Linked DNA regions of Pelodiscus sinensis. The protein of the gene in region 2 interacts with the protein of the main gene of each other region in a biochemical or structural test. Links are inferred from orthologs where the notes say so. Each region holds a gene or a part of one and is shown on either strand. Other genes may lie near its edges.

Evidence for each region. The genes of interacting proteins can lie anywhere in the genome.
Region 1: the proteins of ESR1 (region 2) and FLII form a complex in vitro, tested with the Homo sapiens proteins (2 studies listed by BioGRID). The link is inferred for Pelodiscus sinensis from reciprocal best matches to the Homo sapiens genes ESR1 and FLII.

The regions. Positions count from the first base shown.
Region 1 is NC_134726.1:34,200,235-34,210,101, reverse strand, and holds the start of FLII (protein flightless-1 homolog), read left to right. Parts: upstream 1-5,095; 5' UTR 5,096-5,189; coding exon 5,190-5,252; intron 5,253-7,538; coding exon 7,539-7,649; intron 7,650-9,867. Other genes in the region: MIEF2 (mitochondrial dynamics protein MID49), read right to left, coding at 884-1,030. UniProt on the Homo sapiens protein: Is a regulator of actin polymerization, required for proper myofibril organization and regulation of the length of sarcomeric thin filaments. It also plays a role in the assembly of cardiomyocyte cell adhesion complexes.
Region 2 is NC_134713.1:107,787,396-107,797,883, forward strand, and holds the start of ESR1 (estrogen receptor), read left to right. Parts: upstream 1-5,732; 5' UTR 5,733-5,805; coding exon 5,806-5,830; intron 5,831-9,972; exon of another isoform or gene 9,973-10,090; intron 10,091-10,488.

The sequences.
Region 1 (9,867 bases), on a different chromosome or scaffold from region 2:
AATGTGTATAGGTACAATGTATCCTCCTGGTTAGTAAAAAAGAACAACCAAACTTAACACCTAGATTTAGCTGCAAATTAACAGAAGAACAAACGGTAACCAAGCAATGAGACTCAACTTTTCTTTAGGAACATAACTAGATAGTACAAGTGCAAAACGTAATTGAAAATCCGTCATTTAAATCTATTTGACTGAAAGCAATTCACCCTGTTCTAAATGAGAAAATCTTGCACCCTGTTACGTTTAGAAAGCCAAAACGTTCTTTTTCCTTTAATACAAAGCTGAATCACATTCACAGGCAGAGTTCAGGGACATTTTGGTGTCCAGGGCTGAGAAGAATGATGGAGACCAGATGCTTTATCTTCCTTTCCCCTGTAATAATTCTCCTGCCTCCCCAAAAATACACCCAACAGGTTTTGTAACCTTTGACCACACAGGTATCACATGCAGGGCTTCTACTCTGCTTAAATACAGAGATATACCTATCTCATAGAACTAGAAGGGACCTTGGAGAGGTCATTGAGTCCAATCCCCTGCCCTCATGGCAGAGCCAAATACCACCCCTGACAGATTTGCCCCAGATCCCTAAATGGCCCCCTCAAGGATTGAACTCACAACCCTGGGTTTAGCAGACCAATGCACAAACCACTGAGCTACCCTTCCCTCCTGCCTGAAGGGCCAAGTTCTGCATGGAAAGAGACATGGACGGAAAGTCTGCTGCTTTGGTGTTGCATGCATCGCAAGGTCTTATTCCTTTGCAACCTGGGAGATTAGCTCTTTTGTTAAGTAAGTTAGTTACGTCCCTGAAGCCCCCATGCACAAGTCACAGCTTGACGAGTGCCGAAGGGACACTAGTTTATCTTCCAGAGGAACCCAGACTTACCCGTTTCACCACCAGAGTTGCGATGGCCAGCACAGCAGCACCGCCCACCCCAAGCACCAGTCTGGCATTGGCCAACAGGAAGTCAACAGCACCACCCAGCCCGTTGTCATCCCGCCTCTTCCCCCTTTTATGAACCAGCTCAGCCATGCTCCACCTGCAGAGAGAGAGAAACACACAAGGTGATGCACCTGGGGTCCAAGGTGACTTGGTGGAACCTTTGGGAACATTGAAGAGCATGGAAATTTTCCTTCCAAAACGATCTACTCGTTTGTGGAACAGCATCCCTGGGGAAGGAGCAGATGGTCCATTAGCTGCGACATTTAATCTAACTGAGACCAAGCAGGGAATGGACCTAGAAGATCTCTTTGGCCCTTTGATAGCTTCTTCACACTTACCTTCCTGGCTATACAGAATTGCATCTCCATTTCCCCCTTCGTCTTCCTTATCACGGCCTTCCCACTGAGCTCCATGCCTTCCTCCCCCCAACCTAGAACTGCCTTCAAGTTGTTAGAACAGTCTCAATAACCAACACTTGGTGATCAGAGAAGTTTTCCATTTCACACGTTTCTGCTACATTGTATCCCCCACAAATTACTGAACCCTGCCCTGTAAATGTGACAGAGACAATGACACTAAAAAAAAAGGGAGATTATTTAGTGCAACAGGGTTTTCTGACTTGTGATGGAAAATTAATTGACTGAGATGGGGCTTGAATTCAGTTTCTAGACAAGTTTGTCAGTTTGAAGTCGGTAGCCCAAGCAGGAGGCCGGGAGTTCAGAATCCAAGGTTCTCTTCCAGACCACTAGTGATACTCTGCTGTGCCACGATCAAGTCACGTGACCTCTGTGACTCTGTTTCCCCATCTGCAAGATGGGAAAAATAACCCCGTGGGTCATGAAGCTCCAGATGAAAGGACACAGGGAATTACAGAGCATCAAACGGGGCTCCCATACAAATGCACTGTGGGCACGGTGTAAGATAACTCAAGGAGCTTCAAGTCCATTCAAGGTAAAGGCACCTCACACATCCCTTTGCATGGAGATTCTGCTGCCATCAGCCAGTGAACAAAACAAGGGTGTGAACACCTCACAGCCCCAGCAATCAAGGAGCCGTCTGGTCCTACTTCCACCCAGCTTTATCCCTCCTCTCAGTTTAACAGTGCAAACTTACAATCCGTTTCTTCCCAAGCCGCTATGCATTATTCACGCACGGCCCACAGAAGAGACCACCATGCACGTCACTTCTCAGGCCAGGCGCGATTCTTCCCCACTGATGCTTGGCAGCAAATGGGCCACAGCCAAATTCTTAGACCCCTGCGGCATCGGGACAGTGCACAGTGAACACGGCAGCTCAGACTTCTAGAGTTTGAAACCCACACTTCATCTGTGTCCTTTCCTCACATGGCAGAGACCTCTCATGAGTAATGATCCCAGTATGACTCAGTTTCACCATGTCACTATGGGAACAGCTTCTTAGGGGCTACAGTCTCCGGGAATTAAGAGCTCAAAATCTACTTCCCAGCTATAGTTTCTGTTTCAGAATACACGCTCCAATGGGCAAGGACCAACAGCCCCAAGTGTGGGAAGGCTGGTTCCAGCTCCCGGGCCCTCCACGGGGCTACAGCAGCCCCTCTGTGCACATCAGGCTGCTCCCACGTACTGGGTAACCAGTTCCCCAGTCACACCTCTACTGGGAGGCATACCTATTGCCCCAGCAGGCGCTCTGGTACAGCCGCACACAACTCTCACGAGCAAGAATGCCAAGCGGGGCTGTGCTGGGAGTTCAAGCTTTCAGGTTTTTTCCAGTGAATAATGGAATGGTTTGAAATAGGCCCAACAGGGCAAAAACTGGATCAAGGAATCAACAAGGCCCTGAACATGTAACAGGCTCATCAAGGGAATTGGGTTGGAGGGTAGAAATTCGTCTATTAGTCCCTCAAACATAAACAGAGGCCAGCACCGATCCAAATTTATATTCCCATCTGCAAAACTGCTCTGCAGATATTCGCACCCACATCTGTGGATACCCATAGGTATAAAGCAAATAACGGCAAAGTAGCAGGGTTCTCGATACCAAATTTGTATCCGTATCTGCCAACAAGGAGCCATGGATAGCCGTAGATATAGTGTGGCCAGAGAGCCAAAGGGTCTCAACGCCAGATCCCAGCCGGGACTGGATACGTGCTGTCAGAAATGCCCAGCGGCCTTCTTTAGCTGGACAGGAAATAGCAAAGCTGCCCCCACCTCCCGCACCCTAACTCAACGCGCCCCATCCCCTTGTGACACCAGCCCAACCTGCGCAGCTACGGAGGAGGAACTGGACTTTGCTCTCCCCACACGTGCCCTTGCTGTAAAAAACAAAAGATAGCACGTAGACAGCGGCCTGGATCACAGAAAGCTGCCCCAGCTGTGCTCCCCCCCAGGCCCGGATCACAGGGCCCCCCTCTCAGCTGTGCCGCCCCTCACCGGGCCTGGATCACAGGGCCCCCCTCTCAGCTGTGCCGCCCTATCAAGCCTGGATTACAGGAACCCCCTCAGTTGTGCCTCCCCTACTGAACCTGGATCAGGCCCCCCAGCTGTGTCGCCCCTCCTCCGGGCCTGGATCACTGGGCCCCCGCTCTAGATTCTCACACCTCGTTAGGCTGCCCCCCAGACTAAGCCAGAGGCCCCGGGAACTCACCGACAGGTGCCGGGAGCGGCGCGGCCGCACTCACCTTGAGCAGCGAGCCCCGCTAGGTCAGGCCATGTTGCGGCGGGGGAAGGCGGGTCCCGGCAAGGCCCGGGCCCCGGGGGCTGGAACAAGCCTCGGCCGGCCCCGCGGTTACTGCAGCAGCGGCTCCCCTACGGCCGATCCCCAGCGAACGTCGGCGACAGTCACATTCGGTCGGGCCGAGGCGGCCAATAGGAGCGCCCGCCTGTTGTCCCAACGTTCCGAAATGTAACGAGAGCCTCCGGTTGCCAATTGCGCCCCGCCCCTCGCCTCGGCTTCGTCACACGTGGGCGGAGCCCGGCAATTCTTCGCCTTAAAGGCGCAGCGGGACAGAAGCAGGAAGGGGTTGAGGATGTGGTGGGGTTGGGGGTTTCGCTTAGTCCTACCCGGGTAGTAGAGGGGCCTATATGCAGAGCTGACAGAGACTCCGCGAGGGAGGGGGGACAGTGCAGAAATCCGCCCTGGACACCCCCTACCCTGTCACCACTAGGAACAGGGATCCTAAGGCAGGCATTTGCATCCTGTGGGCCTTCCTACAGCTGTCACCTGCAGGTTCCCTACCCTTTGCTTGCTTTTTTGGAGTGAGCTGCCCTGCGAATGGGAGACGGGTGTTCAGTGCAGTTTTATGGGCCCAGGATCTTCCTGGATGTTCTGGGTTTGGGGTAGCTCAGAGGTGGCAAGAGTATCTAGCCCCAATCCTGGAACAGGATCAGCCCACTGGGTTGAGTGCTGTGCAAACACAGAACCAAAAGAGGGCCCCAGCCAGCCCCCAAAAGCTTAAGATCTGAGTAGGAGACGAGGTAGCGGGTAGATACAGAGAGGGACCCCAATGAGACAGCACTGTGTTATTAATTATTAATATTTATTAATTATTGTTAATAACCTGTCTCCTCTTGTCTACATAGGCACGGGCCTGGATCACAGGGCCCCCCTTTTAGGGTCTCACCTAGACTTATGTAGCTGGGCCTATTGACTGTAATGCATTTCATTAAATGCAGACAATTAAATGCATTACAGTCAATAGGCCCAGCTACATAAGCCTAGGTGAGACCCTAAAACCTGATAACCTTCCTAGGCTCTGTAACCCTTGATGAGAGACCTACAGTGGGGTTCTAGCCCCAGTGGGCTGTCTTTGGGAAAGCCCCTTGCCTCAGTTTCCTTTGTGTGATACTGACCTTGCTTGTAAAGCCCTCTGAGATCGGCCAGAGCTGGCTGTAATTTTCCTAGCAGTTTGCCCCACTATCCTTCCCAATAGTATTAACATTCTCTCGCCCTCCCACTGTTCCAGGGGGCTCCAGGAGAACGGGGGGGGGGGTAGTAGCCCCTTAAAAGCCTTCTCAGCCGCAGGCAACAATGAAGGTAGAATGGGGCAGGTTCCCCCAGGACCACAGAAAGGGGGATTCTCCCCCCACAGGGGTGGAGGCAGGCAGCTGCGATCACGTCTCCTCCCGGAGGGGGCTGTTTAAAAGCAAAGCTCCCTGGGAGGCTTGCAGCGCCCCTGGCAAGGAAGGGGTTAAAAGAGCGAGCGCAGGCTGGGTGTCAATGCAACACGCCCTGCCCTGCCGCCGGCTGGCTGCAGCTGCTGCGGAGCGGAGCAATGGCTGCCACCGGGGTGCTCCCCTTCATCCGGGGGGTCGATCTGAGTGGGAACGACTTCAAGGTACCGCAGGCCCCCCCCCCACCCTGGGCTGGGCTGCGGGCAAAGCCCGGGGCTGGGCGACAGACAGGGAGGTGGCTGGGCAGCTCCCAGCCTCTAGGCCCTGCCTGTTTCCTGCCTGGCTAATTTTAGACAGTGGCTCAGCCCTGGCTGCACTGTGGGGCCTGACATCCCGCTGGGAGGGGGCCGAGCTGGCCTGGCCAGAGCAGGGGGGGTTGCCAGAGAGGCCGGGCAATTTCAGAGCCCCTGGTTCTGGGGGGTGATGGGCCTCCTGGCTACAGACTATGGGTCGTTTTTAAAGTTTTTCCTGTTCCAGACTCACTCGCCTGCCCCCCTGAAACATTTTTACTCAGGGCGCCCCGCACTGAAACTAATCGCATCTCCTCCTGGTCCCTGTGAGGAGGGGCAAGGATTCTGTAAATCAGCCCTTCTCCATCCGCGGCGTGGGGGACCCCAGCAGGTTTCTAGGGTCCGAGCGAGAAAGCCAAAGCTACTCTGGGTGGAGTTGAAGTTTATGGGCACCCCCGGACTGAAGTTGAAACCTGAGAAACGAAGCGTCATAGAGCCCCTAAGATGTGGGGCCGGGGCCCCTTCTTGCTGCCCCTGGCTTTTATATGCGGGAAAACAGTTGTGCTAACTAACACAGCTGGGCCATGGAGTTTGTATAGCTCTGGGGAAAGAGGCCTTGGAAGGAAAAAGATGGCGAGCTGCTGGTAGAAAATCCCTCCTAGAGCGATGAAAGGGCTTGCCCCAGGTCACGCTGGCAGAATTGGGAATGCAACCCTGCTCTGATCCCTCACTTGCTTTGCCTCCTGGGATCTATTTCCCCAGCCTAACCTCTGACCAGGGGGTGACCGTGCTGCTGGATGCTGGTGGTCCTTTGGCTATGCTCTCTGGTCAGCCTGTTTCCCTGTGCCCATCGCTTGCCCTTGGCCATGGTGGTTTTGCTGGTCTGCGTGTGACTTAAGTGACTCAGCCAACTTTGCCCGGTGCTGTGACGTGACCCACAGTTTGGGCCTGTATAATCTCCCTGTGACACTAAGGAGCTATGAGTCCATGTGCTGCACTCACGCTGACTCCTACCGTGTGTGAAACTGTAACCGGGCCAGGCAGAGAAATGAGCTCATGCCGGCCCTTGCCAGGCACCGCGTCTGAGGAGCAGGATGGCCGCTCTGCCGGCCCTGGATGGGGCATGCAGAGATGCTCCCTCCTGTGAGGTTAAAATTCAGGTTCTTCCTTTGCAATTACCCTCCCCCAGCACCGGAGCCCTCCCATGGCAGCGTTGGCAGATCTGCCCTAGAAGGCTGTTGATCCGAGGAATGGCCCTTGGGCGCGGCGCATGCCGGTGGGCCCGCGTTGGTATGGTTTGGGGTGGCGCAGGGTTTATCTCTGCGATGTGGCTGTGGGGGTTGTGAAACCTGCCGCTAAACAGGCCCTTCAAATGCAGTTGCACAATCTGGGTTAATCTTTTTGCATGGGAGAAAGGCCCTTTCCTGCAGGTGCGTGGGTCTGCCTGCCCCTCCTCTCCCTGGATGGGGAGGCTGCTAGTTAGAAACCTTCCACCAGCGGTAGCAAAACGCCTGCTAAGGCCAGGCTCGCACAGTGACCGACACTGGGGCACAACACCCTCGTGGGAGGAGCAAACTCCTGTGAATGAAGCTACACGTGTGCTTGAGCCTCGGCAGAATCGGGGCCTGCGAGTGTCCGTCCACGGGATTCATGCTGCCTCCCAGCCCCCTAATCTTGCATAACCTGCCCGACCGCTGCTCCGCTCAGGATTGGCTCCCAGGGCAGTGTGGGGGAGGCAGGGGGGCAAGAGAGGCTGCTGCCCGCGGCAGACCCAGGTTTGCTGCAGACAGAGGCTGCTCCGTAGGATGCTGGCACAGCCTCTATCCGTGGCGAGCGCAGACCCCTGCATACAGGGTCTGCTGCTGTTCTGCGCTGCTGCCTCTGATACAGAGGCAGCCATGTGGGGCGGCGGGGGGCTCCCCGGTGTGAGTCCCCAGGGACTATCAAATAATCGTGTGACCGCTAAAATGCTGCGGTTCCACGACTATTCGATTACATGGGATCTAACATCCCTAGTTACAGTAAGTCCCGCGCTGTTGGAACAGCCTGTCACATTGGTGCATTTGGCAGGGATCCCGGAAAAGGGGCCGTGGGTGGTTCCCCTCTGCGGTGTGGGGAGGGTGTTAAGAGCACAGGATCCTACCGCCCCGTCTGGATGAGAAACCCGTTTCCCTGCCCAGCGGATGCCCAGCGTGGCTCTTTCTCTCTCCCGCCTCTCAGGGTGGCTATTTTCCGGACCACGTGAAGTCCATGACCAGCTTGCGATGGCTGAAGCTGAACCGGACCGGCCTGTGCTACCTGCCAGAGGAGCTCTCTTCCCTCCAGAAACTGGTGAGAGTGGCCTGAGGCCGGCGGTGCCCAGACTGGCTGCTGGGTGCTCCTTGGGAAGCTGCCTTTGGGGCAGGGGTGCGTATAATGCAGGTGAGCGCATGGAGTCGTTGAGAGCCCGCGGCAGGCTTCAAACGGAGAGCAAAGGGGCAGGTAGACCCAGTTGAAAGCTGCCCCTACGATCATTCTACTGGCTCGTTCTTCCATGGCTTTTCATCCATGCTTCTCTCCAAGAGCTTTGCAAAGGTTCTCTCCATTCCACAGCTGGGGAAACCGAGGCACAAGGGGGCGACGTGGCTTACGCAAGCTCACTGAGTCGGCCAGTGGCCCAGCCAGGAATAAAACCCTTGTGGTTTGGACTGGTGCTCTACCTGCTACACCCACTGTCTCCTCTGCAGTGCATTCCTGCAGGTGTACACACACACACACACCCTCTCTCTTTCTTTCTCGCTCTCTAAGGACAGCCTGCAAAGGCTCTTTAAATTCCATTCCCTGTCCCCTAGAAATGCCAGGCGCATCAATCCCACTTCTTAGTTTTCCTGAGCCCTCACGACTTGGTCCAGGGGCTTGAGGGTGGAACTTTAGCAAAGACAGGGATGCTGGAATGAAACCAAGAGCGGAGTTCCCCTCGGCTGGGCGCTGCGCAGTCTGTCTCTCTCTCAGCCGCGAGGCTTTCCCTGTCTTGTGAGAAGAGGCCTGTGGTGGATTCCCCGTCACTTGAAGTCTTAATTTCAGCGGGGCATCTTTCTAGGAGATCTGTTGTCGCTCACTCAGCAGTTCTGGGCTTGCTGGGGGACCTGCTCTGGGGTCCTGGGGGGCCTGTCTCTTCTCCGGAGCTCAGATCAGGCAATCCAAAGGCCTTCGAATCAGTGCATTTGTGTCAACTTTACTAGTTCTCCGTAGAGCCTCCCTTAGTAGATCAGTTCTGAATAGCTAATGGTGCCAGCAAACTCGCTTCCTTCCTGGCCTGCTGTCTGCTATAAAGCAGCAAAAACGGTCTCCAATCCCCGTTCGTTTTTTTTTCTTCTTTATAGATCATCTTTAGCGGAAACCCTATGACCAAAGCCCCAGTGAATCCCATTGCCCGGGTGACTCCTGCAGCTAGCCTGACATCTAGGACAGCAGCGTGTGCATCCCCTCACTCCTGTGAATGGTTTCCGGATGTCGGTGTGATGACTAGGGATGTTAGACTAGTTGACTATCCAATAAGCATTTGTTTATTGGATAGGCTTTTGACTAGCTGACATTCCCCCTGCCCCCTCTCTATCCCCTAGGCCATGCCAGAACCTGCCCCACCACCTTACTCTCAGGGCGCCCTTCATCCTGCCTGCCCTTGGAGGGGGGGCGGGAGGGAGGGACAGCAAAGCAGGGGTGGGGAGAAGAGTACGTCAAAGCGGTAGCGCCACACAGCAGCACTGCCACTTTGAAACTCCAAGGCGACCGTTTCAAAGGGGCAATCACCACATGACTAATCCATGGATCACAGCTGATCGGTGGATCACGGATCAGCTGGGAGGTGGCTGCCCCTTTGACACTGCCGCCTCTGCACGTTTCAAAGGGGCGGTGGCTTCTTGTGCGTTTCAAAGCAGGTGCCCGTGTGCAGCTCGGAGTCAGCGAGCCGTCCCGCTGGCCCCAGGCTGTATGTGGAGTTCTGCAGTCCTCCTTTGAAATGTACAAGAGCTCCAGCAGGGGCTCTTGCATGTTTTAAAGGAGGAATGCGGAAGTGCCTATCAACTAGTCAATGGACGTTCCGTCGACTAGTCAATTGACCACATTTAAACATCCTTAGTGATGACAGACATGGGGCATGTTTGCTCGTCGGCATCTGCAAGAGGGAAGCTTTTGCTGAATATAACGGGCGAGAGGCAATGGGCTTAAATTGCAGCAAGGGAGGTTTAGGTTGGACATTAGGAGAAATTTTCTAGCTGTCAGGGTGGTTAAACACTGGAATAAGTTGCTGAGGGAGCTGTAGAGTCTCCCTCACTGGGGATTTTTAAGGGCAAGTTAGACACACACTGTCAGGGATGATCTAGACTCTAGATCCATGGTCACCAACAGTCGATCGCGAGGCCTCGACCAGTCGATCGTGAGGTGTCCTGTCTGCCCCGCCCCCATTTCCCTCCCACCTCCGAGAAGCCCCACTACCTACCTCAAGTGAAAATGGAGGTAGTGTCGGCTTCCCGGCGATTCCAGAAGTGCACTAGCTGCTCTGCCGGGCGTA
Region 2 (10,488 bases):
ATGACCACTTATATTGAGAATTGAGAGTTGTGTTTTTATAGGGTTGCCAGGTGTCCGGTATTGGACTAGACAGCACAGTATTTGCGGCATGTGTCTGGTAAAAAAAACCCAGAAAATACTGGACATGTAAAATGTCCGGTATTTTCTGTTTTTTCTTGGATAGAAGGCCACTTGGGACATTCTTCCCCTGCTGCATCTGGCGGAGGTAGGGGAAATGTAGGAGTGCGTGGGGATATAAAGGGACCGTGACTCTTTTTTTTTTGTGCTTTTTTGTTTTTGCTCAACAACTTTTTGTTTGTTTTTTGTGCAACCAATTTTTCCTTCTGTGTATTTTTTGTGAAACTATCTGGCAACCCTAGTTTTCCACAATAGTGGCTCTATGAGAATAGTTTTGCATTTATGTACATTAATTTTAAGTCATATGTGTTGCCATCTTATTTTAGGAAATCCAAAGGGAAATATTTGGAATGAATTTAAATAAATTAGGTGGTCACCTGTACACAGGCTTATCGTTATGTTCACAGAGACCAAGTTTGACACCAGATATATTATAGTTTGTTCAAATGGCTATGCAGACAGTTATTGGTTTGATTACTGTTATATGTAAGAGAGGTGAAAGAATACAGTCCTGTTTGTCTCATCTTTTTAATTTTAACAGTTTAGGGGTTCGTCTAGACAGTGGGTCTATCGGAATACCGAAACAACTATGTTGCGTCTTTTAAACTCTCCCATTTTTTTGAAATATTTTTTGAAATAAGGGGTACACTATTCTGGCATCCCTGTAACTCTCATTCCATGAGGGTTAAGAGATGTGTTGAAATAGCATTTTATTTTCAAATTTGGCCCTATGTAGTCACGCCAAATTTCAAAATAAGCTATTTCAAAATTCAATTGAAATAAGATATGCAATTTGAGTAGCACAAATTGTGTAGCTTATTTCGAGTTTAGGGTGCTGTGTAGATGCACCCTAGGTTGTATTTGGTTCATAATTGTTTTTTCCCTTTGGTTGTTGGAAAAATACATTTATCCACAATCTAAGTTGAAAAAGAAAAACTTAGAACACTCTATTGAATGTCTTTTCTGAATCAAATCAGGATAAGCATGACTGTTTTATTCCATTATAATTAGCTGAAATACTTAATAGCCTTTTGTTATTGTTATTGGCCATTCTATTGTTAAGTAAGACTGAATTAATCTACATTAATAATATAGTATTACTCTTTCTAGATATACTTTTGACCTAATTTTGCTATTTTTAAGGGACTTTGCTTTATTTGGGAACATAATCATAGTGATATGATTTAGGTTTTGGGGTGTTGGTGGTGAGGAATATCTATCTATCTATCTATCTATCTATCTATCTATCTATCTATCTATCTATCTATCTATCTATCTATCTATCTATCTATCTATCTATCTATCTATCTAGTAAACAGGGAGTGATCAGAATATTGCATTTAAAAACAGTCAGGGAATAGCCAACTTTGCTGCTTTGCGGCTTGAAAATATTTTATTGTTTTATTGATTTTTGCCTTGGGAAAGATTCTCTTCATATAATCAGATGTTTGGGGATAAGTGTAAATCCTATACCAGACTTGAAAAAACTACCCAGGGACAACTAGCTTGAGGACTAAGCCAATCAGCCAGAATATAAATAACTTTCAAGGCCCTTACACCTCTTCTCCTACGAGTTGTGCACTATATTTAAATGATACATACTGTCAATCAACTACCTATTAAATACATTTTAAAATATGGAACTTATTATTAGGGCAGGTCAAATAGCAACCATCCGTGCCTTTCCACTTATCGCTTCAAGAACATATTTCTCTCCTTACCTTCCAAGTCCTGTCCCTGCTTCCTTTCTTGACTATGTTTCCTCCAAAGATTGACTCTCTTATTGCTATAATTAGATTTCTATGACACTAACATTGGAGTGGTATATTCTAGCATTCCTCAGCATGCTACTGTGATGCATTTTGGGAATTGCACCAATGTAGGCAGATGACACTGCTGAAAAGTTAAAGGTGGGAAATTTGAGTCTCTAATGTCACCATCAAGATGTGCCTTTGATCATGAGATGTTTCTGAAATAATAGTGAGTATGATTTGGAAGGGGAAATTAGAATCTCCTGAGAGAGGTTCCACTTAAACTTTTCTAGATCAGTTGCAGAGTGTGGTGAGGACTGACTTCTTCGCGTGATGTCAGCTGTCGGTACTATATTGGTAAGTTTGAGTTCTGTCACACACAGCTCTTCTCAGAGCCAGACACTGCTCTCTCCATCATCACAATTACAAGTCAGAGACTTCATGAAAGTCAACTAAGAACAGCTTAACCTGAAGAATTAGAAGGAGATGCTGATTAGCAAGAGGAAAGACTTTGAGGCCTTAGTTAACAATATAATCATTCCTTCAGATGAAGTAATCTGACCAGCTATCGCTGAATTAGTCTACACTCTTAGGATCTGTTGTTTTATTCACCAGTCACATATTTTCTTGTTAGTATGGCTCTTGCCTCAATAAGCCACATGTTTGTAACTTCTTGGTTAGACAATTCTAGCAGACACTACCAGAGACTATTTGTGAAAGTCATTAAGAAGGTCGGTAGTAATCTAGAAGGCAGCCACCCATCTTTTGATTGGGGTCTGTCAAAAAGAACACATCATCCCTGATTTCTGTTCTCTGGACTGGTTCTTCATTGACTTTCATGTGAAATTATAGGGCACTAGTTCCTACCGACAAAGTCCTAATTCATCTAGGCTCACTCAGACAGCCTGTAGGATGCCTTCATCATCTGAAAGCCACAGCACAGCATGCATTCTGGAATTCTGTAACTCCATGTTCCAGGAATGAAGCTTCTGGAAACTAGTAACAGGACATTTCCAGCAGAGGGCCTGCACTTTTGCTGCCCATTCTCTTCAGAAATATGGTTAAACATGAACCTTGCCATGTATAAAAAGAGCTTCAGGATGCTCCCTTTTTTGTCTGGGCCTTATTTAATAATAGTACATGGGGTGGGCTTTTAGCTGATTGATCAGATTCCTCTCAATCTTAGGGAAGTATACTGGGTTGGTCTCCCTCTTATTTGGAATGCTAGGGCCCAATCCTGCTCCTATTGAAGTCAACAGAGAACTCCCATTGACTTCTGTGATGCAGGGTTAGGTGTTTACTCCGATAGGACAGTGATCGGTATCTTTGCATGACAGAATAATAACAAACACTTTCATAGTCTTATTTGACTCATAATAAAGAAAAAAATGTTTTGGCATGAAAAAATTAGACCAAAGAAGTTTGAGAAGATTCTTTTTGAAGTAAACACATTCTTCTATTCCTGTCCCTATAGCGAATGTCCACATTTTTCCTTTCAAATACTTATGAGTAAAGAGTTGGTAAAAGTGGAGCTCACTTAAGTGACATTAGAAAGTACCAGTTTATGATATCTGTATTCATGGATAAGAATCCATAAAAATTCTCATCCTAAGCAATGGGGATGTCTAGTGGAGTAAAATCCTACTTAATATAAAGTATCAGAATCTGGCCTACAGTAGTTTACAAAACGTTAGCCGAAAATAAAACAAAACCAGCCAACCCTACCCTCTCATTGTCAGAATAGATGTCTAATTAGTTCTTTGATGCATCTATATAGAATTTTTAAAAATTTTCCTCTGAGATCATACAGTTCAAGCAAATTTCATTTTATATTACTGTAGCAAGGGAGGCTAGCCTAATTTACTGCTCCTCTCCTCCTCTTTCCTCCTTCTGTGGCTCTCTGAGCAAAGTTTGTGTTCCTCGTATCTACTTGGTCCCAAAGCCTGTCTGGATATTTACTTTTAAAGGCTTGGAGTTTCAATATTTTTCCTTGGAACTGTCAGGTGAGGGTCATCCCAGTGAAGAACTTTCCAGTGAAACAATAAATCCTCCCCTGCCCTTGTCCTGTCATCGTAGCATAGCAGACATCCCTGGCAGCTTGATCACCCTCCCCTACACATTCTTGCTTTGTGTATCCCTCAGGGTCCCTCCTCCCTTCAGTAATATAAATGGCTGAAATATAAAACAAAAAAGACACTTGGAAATTTATCAAGTTGAAGCTGCATCAGTCTAAAAAACTCAGCAAGAAACCTGAGTAAATTGTAAAGAAGTTTCCTGATGTGAAAGTTACCTAGGTGATTTGTAGTAATTCATACTACTGTGTCATTGCATTATCTGCCTAAATCTTTTCAAATGAAGTGTCTGGAAAAGCTGCTTTTTTGAATGTTGCAATTAAGCATTAACCTTGAAATCAGACAGTGTTTTATCAAAATAAGTAATCTGCATTTAGCTGTTAGGAATCAGTACAGTTTGTTAGTTTGGGATCTTTTGCACTTTATCTTTATTTATAACTTGCAGATTTATGGCACATGTTTTAGTAATTTGTAGTTTTGTAACCATAAGTTTTACTTATGAAAGAATGTGAAAACTGGACTGCTCTGCTGCATATGTTGTATAGTGCAGTCAATTACCTCAAGAAAATACTTATTTTTCTTATGACTTCCTTTTTCGATACCAGAAATATGACTGAGTTAATAAAACCTTAGACAGAGAATGAAAACAGCTAGAATAGTAGAAGCTTTTTTGGTGCTTAAATTAACCAGATCCTATTTTTAAAAAGATCTTGGTAATTTTTTAAAAATTGTTAATGCGATCACTAGTTGCAATTATACACTGATGTGAGCTGAAATTTATAGTAGAAAACTGTTTCCCCCATGGGTTGAAAAGAAGAGTGATATTGGGAATATCAAAGTCATAGTCTAAGGGTAATCTGGCCTACTGGAGATCACCTTTTCAAACCAATGGACAATACAGTAAAACTCCATTGGTCCGGCATCTGATGGTCTGGCACTCCTGATGGTCCGGCACCATCAGGAACCCGGAAGTGCTCCAGGCAGCCGGACCATTGGAGCTGCTCTGCCCCTGGCTTCCCTGATTCAGCCGCTACTGAAGCTGACCAGCGGCTGAATCAGGGAAGCCGGGGGCAGAGCAGCTGGAGTGCTGCCAGTAGGTCCTGTAGTGCTGCCCCTCAGCGCTGCGGGACCAACCCAGCAGCACGCCAGCTATCCCCGATTCAGCTGCTGCTGAAACTGACCAGCGGCTGACTCCAGGAAGCCAGGGGCAGAGCAGCTCTGCCTCGGGCTTCCCGGAGTCAGTCGCTTGTTAGTTTCAGCGACGGCTGACTTGGGGACGCCTAGGGCAGAGCATCTGGGGTGTTGCTGGGTTGGTCCAGTAGCGCCACCCCTTGGTGCTGTGGAACCAACCTGGCAGCACCCCAGCTGCTCAGCCCCAGATGACCCCAAGAGCAACTGAGGTGCTGCCGGGTTGATCTTGCAGCGCCAAGGGGCAGTGCTACCGGACCAACCCGGCAGCACCCTAGCTGCTCTGCTGCAGGTGTCCCAATTCAGCTGCTGCTGAAACTGACCAGCAGCGGCTGAATTGGGGACGCCTGGGGCAGAGCCGGACTATTAGAAGGGGGGGCTATGAGGGGTCTGGGGTGGCATCCCCCCCACCCCACCCTAAACCCCTCATAGCCCCCCCTTCCGATAGTCCGGCATAGCTGATAATCTGGCACCCCCTGGGTCGGACGGATTATCGGAAGTTTACTGTACTTTCCCTAGAAATTAAACACTCCAGTCTGAAATATGTGTGCTATATAATTTAACATGTATTTTGTCTCAGACCTGTTGCTGCTTCAGTTTCCCTCTACCGAAGAGTTTCTATTTTAGTTCAGGGGGGTCATGTGACCTTCTCAGCCAATTACAGCACTCCAGAAGTAATGCCAACAGCCTTCTTGGATAAATGTAAGTGAAAATAGCTCTCAGTTTTTTCAGTTTCTTTCCCTCATGCTCACTTTTACATGTTGTTTTTACTCAAAACATTGCTGCGCACACCTCATGGTGCCCATGGGAATGCTTACAAGTATTATTGTAACTCTTTTTCTAACGTCAATTTTATTTACTGTCTCTTTGTTTTCCGTGTCCAGCAAAAAGCAGCAAAAAACAAGGGAATGCATTCCAAATGTTGTCATTAAGTATGGAATAAGTGTACAGTGAAAATCTCTTATTCAGTATTATTTAGCATTAAATCTGCCATAGCCTAAAAATTACCCTGTGCTCAAGCTCCAGACATAGTCACATGAGTCTTTCAGCCAAAACTGATCAGCTAGGAGAACAGTTATAAATGAAATTATTAGCTCTCTTGAGCCTGTCTCAACCAGTTGCATTAAACTGAATAATTAAAAGGTTCAATAAATTCATTTCAAAGACACAATACTGTAGATATCTATAAAGAGAAGGAATACAGCATCTTTCGTGGGTGATGAATTTATTACTTTCATGAATCACAAAGGCTACATTGTACCCTTTAATGAATGTAAATATTACATTTTGATCCTAATAGATGCTGAAATCTATTTACAGGATATGATATTTAAATAGTAAATATAACAATATTTTTCTCTTTCTTTTCAATTATGGGTACATTCTTTAACCCGTTCTCAAACAGAGGGTCTTTATCTGAGTACCAGCTTTTCCTTTAATAGGATTTCTGGCACAAAATTAACAGCTTAATAAGCAAAGACTATCTCTTAATTATTTTGAGCCTTCTTTTCACATTGTGAACTTTTTTTTCTGAGATGATACATATTTGTTTTCCCGCATGGCACATATGTATATAGCATTTTGCTGTGACTACTTTATTATTTCAACACACTTTTTGAAGTTTACAGATAATCTTTGAAGGACTATTTTCATTTTGAAAATTAGTTTCAGGTTTTGCATAGAATTTGAAGGTAAACTTGGTAGTGAGAGCCTGATCCAACACCCACTGAAGTTAACTGGCATCTTTTTATTGACTTCAGTGGGCTTTATATCAGGCCCCATCCCATGTTGCAGCCCTTTTAGGTAAAAGGCCTCCATGAGAGCTTCTGTTACTTTATTTATGTATTTATTTTTGCATAGCTGTGATATATACTTAATCATAAGGCATCTCTCAAGTAAATGTAATGAACCAGTTTCACAGAAGAAAAGAGATAAGAAGCATGAACATATCTCTTAGTATTTTTTCTATACTGTACTGCAGAAAACGTGTCTCTGTACATTTTAGTTCTGTTTAACTGGCTGTTTGTCTCATAATTTTTGGATTTTTTTTTCTTTTTTAAGATGAAAATTCTCAGACTTAATATGAATAGAATTTTCTCATTGTTTAAATTTAAATGAAAAGAGGTTGTTTTATATGGTGTTTTATTAAGATCCAAAACAATAAACCCAAAATTTTATAAATCTAAATGGAAACATCAAGATAGTAAAGAAAAAGGGATCAACTAGAGTTCTTGTCAAAAGCTACAAAGCAGACATCATACACAAATGGAAGGTTTTAGAATAAGGAAAAAAATAGGTGAGGAACATTGCCTTTTTAATCCAGCCCTTCATTTCAATATATGTGATGAAAGATAGCAATGTATTCAGATATCTGTTCTATTTAAATATTCCACTCTGTGGTGTTGAGAACCCAAATACAACAGCCACGTGCTAGTGCATGATATTCAGAAATGAAAACAAAATCAAAACAGACTATTTGAGTGAACATCAGGAAGCAAAGTTACTAATATTTTGAGTGCGAAGTCAGGAACAATTGTAATTTATTGTAACACCTTTGTGTCAAAGTTGAACAGGCTGGGAAGGGGAATGTATTCAGTTTTTGCCATTTAAGCAACTATGTCTGTTCATAAAATTTTAAAATATATTTCTAATTGTATTTAACCAAATCAAACTGTTCCTTCAAGATCCTGAGCAATTCCTCCCTGGTGTTCAGTGCCCTTAACTCCCACTGACTTCCATAGGAACTGAGGATGATCTGCATTTTGTAGGACAGGGCTACTCAACACGCAGCCTGCAGGCCACATGCGGCCTGAAGCCCATTTGTTTGTGCTGTCTGGCACAGTTTGGGTTTACGTGGGGCTCAATACGTGGCCAATGGATGGGAGCCAAAACAAAAAAGTAGTCAATATAATGGTCTTCTGTTGATATGTGTTTTAGCAGTTAAATTCCTGGACTGTCATTGCTCATTAAAAGTGCTGTCATATGGGTGGAAATCAGGTAAATATTGCATTTTATTAATATCAGCAGAACTGACTCAAATGGGGCCTGTGCATTGTGTAGTATTACCTTAATCTTTGTATTCATGCTCATCAGTGTGAAAGGAGCTATTTGCATATATTTGCATATATATTTGCATGTATATACAGCCACACTTAAGTTGTGGCCCTCAGCATGTGGCCCCCGGGGCTTCCAAAGTTGAGTAGCCCTGTTCTAGGAGGTGTCAGCTCTTACCATAGCAGGGGCCTAACATTAACATGCCCAGAATAGCGAGACAAGTCCCATTAGCAGCTATACAATATTATGGCTCTACTTATTCAGCCCAGTGGAATCTCAGCACTTTCTTGCCTGCCCCCAAATTAAAAGAAATATGGCAATTTCCCCATGAAACAGCAATATAATGCAGTATACAAATCACAAATAAAAGGTAAGTAATTGGAGGATCTGTTATCATTTATGTCTTGCTTCCTTGTTTTCTGCTATTTTAATTTCTTTGCTACTTATCCATTCTCCTCCACTGTTACTTAAAATTTCATTAGAAAACAAACAGACAAAAAAAAAAAATTGCAGCTGTGAGATTAGACCATACCATAAATTCAGTGGGAGTAGGATCAGGTGACGTGTGCATGAACTCTAAAATATTTTCCTTTCCCTCATGTTCTGTCCTCTGTTCTTGGTTTCACCTCACTTAAACTTGAAAAATGCCACTCATGTGGAATGAACATCACAGGTATCTATGCTGATACTGTCTCACTCCAGCCAGCCGAGATGTCACTCATAAGCAGTGCAGCAGATAATGAGCAAAGTGTTCCTTCAGCTCCTCCTCCTGGCTACTAGAGAGTACTTCTGGGCTTCTGCTGAGGCAACCAGTTTCTCTTGCCTATCCCTTCCCATTGCTACTGAGTCCCTCAGCCCTGCTGTGCCACCCAGGGCTGCGAACAGAGGCAGCTCATAGAAAGGAATAGGTGTCCAGCTGTCTCTGAACAGTAACATGCACCATTCTCAGAAGACAGTCAAGATGGTGGGGAGAGGAAAGAGACGGGGGACCAGAGAGAATATAAAGATATACAGGGGGAGAAAGGATTGTGGTTGAGATTGGTCCTTTATAGGCAGAGGGTGAGCAGAAAAAGTGGGGCAAGACAATCAACCTACACACACACTTCATGCATGCTGCCATGGTACCGTATTTGAATATAATCGCTTATTGCAGCAAGGAACATGCATGAAACAAGGACTGCAGGAGCTAGCAGAAGAAACACTGAGAGCTAGGAAAGGAATAGAGGAAGCACTTCTCAGAGTGGCCATTACTGGCTAGAGGGACATGATAAAGCAAAAGAAATACATTATGCTATAATTTTGTTCTCTACAGGACAACCCATTGGGCATGTGAAATGGGGAGACAAATGTGCAACAGTTTGGCAGGTATAAATAAACAAGCAGCAAAACTAGTGACAAGTAAAATCAAAGTAAATCTATCTTCACTTCAAATGGAAACACCAAAGCATGAAAATACAGGAGGCTTGTTTAACTTGCTTCACATAAGCATTAACAGATAGCAATACATTAATATCAATTTTAAATAGAAAAAGGATACAGAATAGTTTACACTAAAATTTCCTTTGGGAAAGCTATTTAAATTTCCCATGTTTTTCTGCCTTAATAATCTGGGTTTTGATTCTGCCAAGACACATTGATTTCAATGAGATGTAAGTACCTACTTAAAGTGAACTATATATTTAAATTTATGTCTGAATCAGGGCCTTATATTGTCGTTTATTAGTAATAGAGAGGTAAAGTTTACAAATATGTACTGAACTTGACTATCTCTTTTGACTGAATTCTTTCAGTCTGGCTTCTTTTGCGGTGACAACGCCCTTGGCAAAACGTGATAGGAGTTCATACAGGGCTTCTTTCCAGATGGAAGTTCACACTCAACTTCAATCCTGGTGCATCCAATCCTCCTTGGTCAGTTTTTAAAGCTGTAAATTGTAATAATTCTTATTGTTTGGGGTAAAATTAACACCTACTAAGACATCATTATCTCTGTTAGCTATTTGTTAGCACTCAACTAGCTAGTTTAAGGAGGAGAGGAAAGCTTGCTGTATTGTCTGCAGGATTTTAAATCAGACTATGTGATATTAAATATTTGCTAAATGTACAGGATACATTTGCAATTTAATTTGCTTATGAAGTGGTGTTACACCTGCTATATATAATGACATGAGTGGTGTGGCCTTTTGATTACTTGGTATCCAAAAGTACTATTTTTTCCCATCATACAATATGCTGAATTTAGTTAAGTCTAATTAACTGCATTCGTCATTTCTTACAATATACTTACAGTGCATGCAGGAGGTATGATA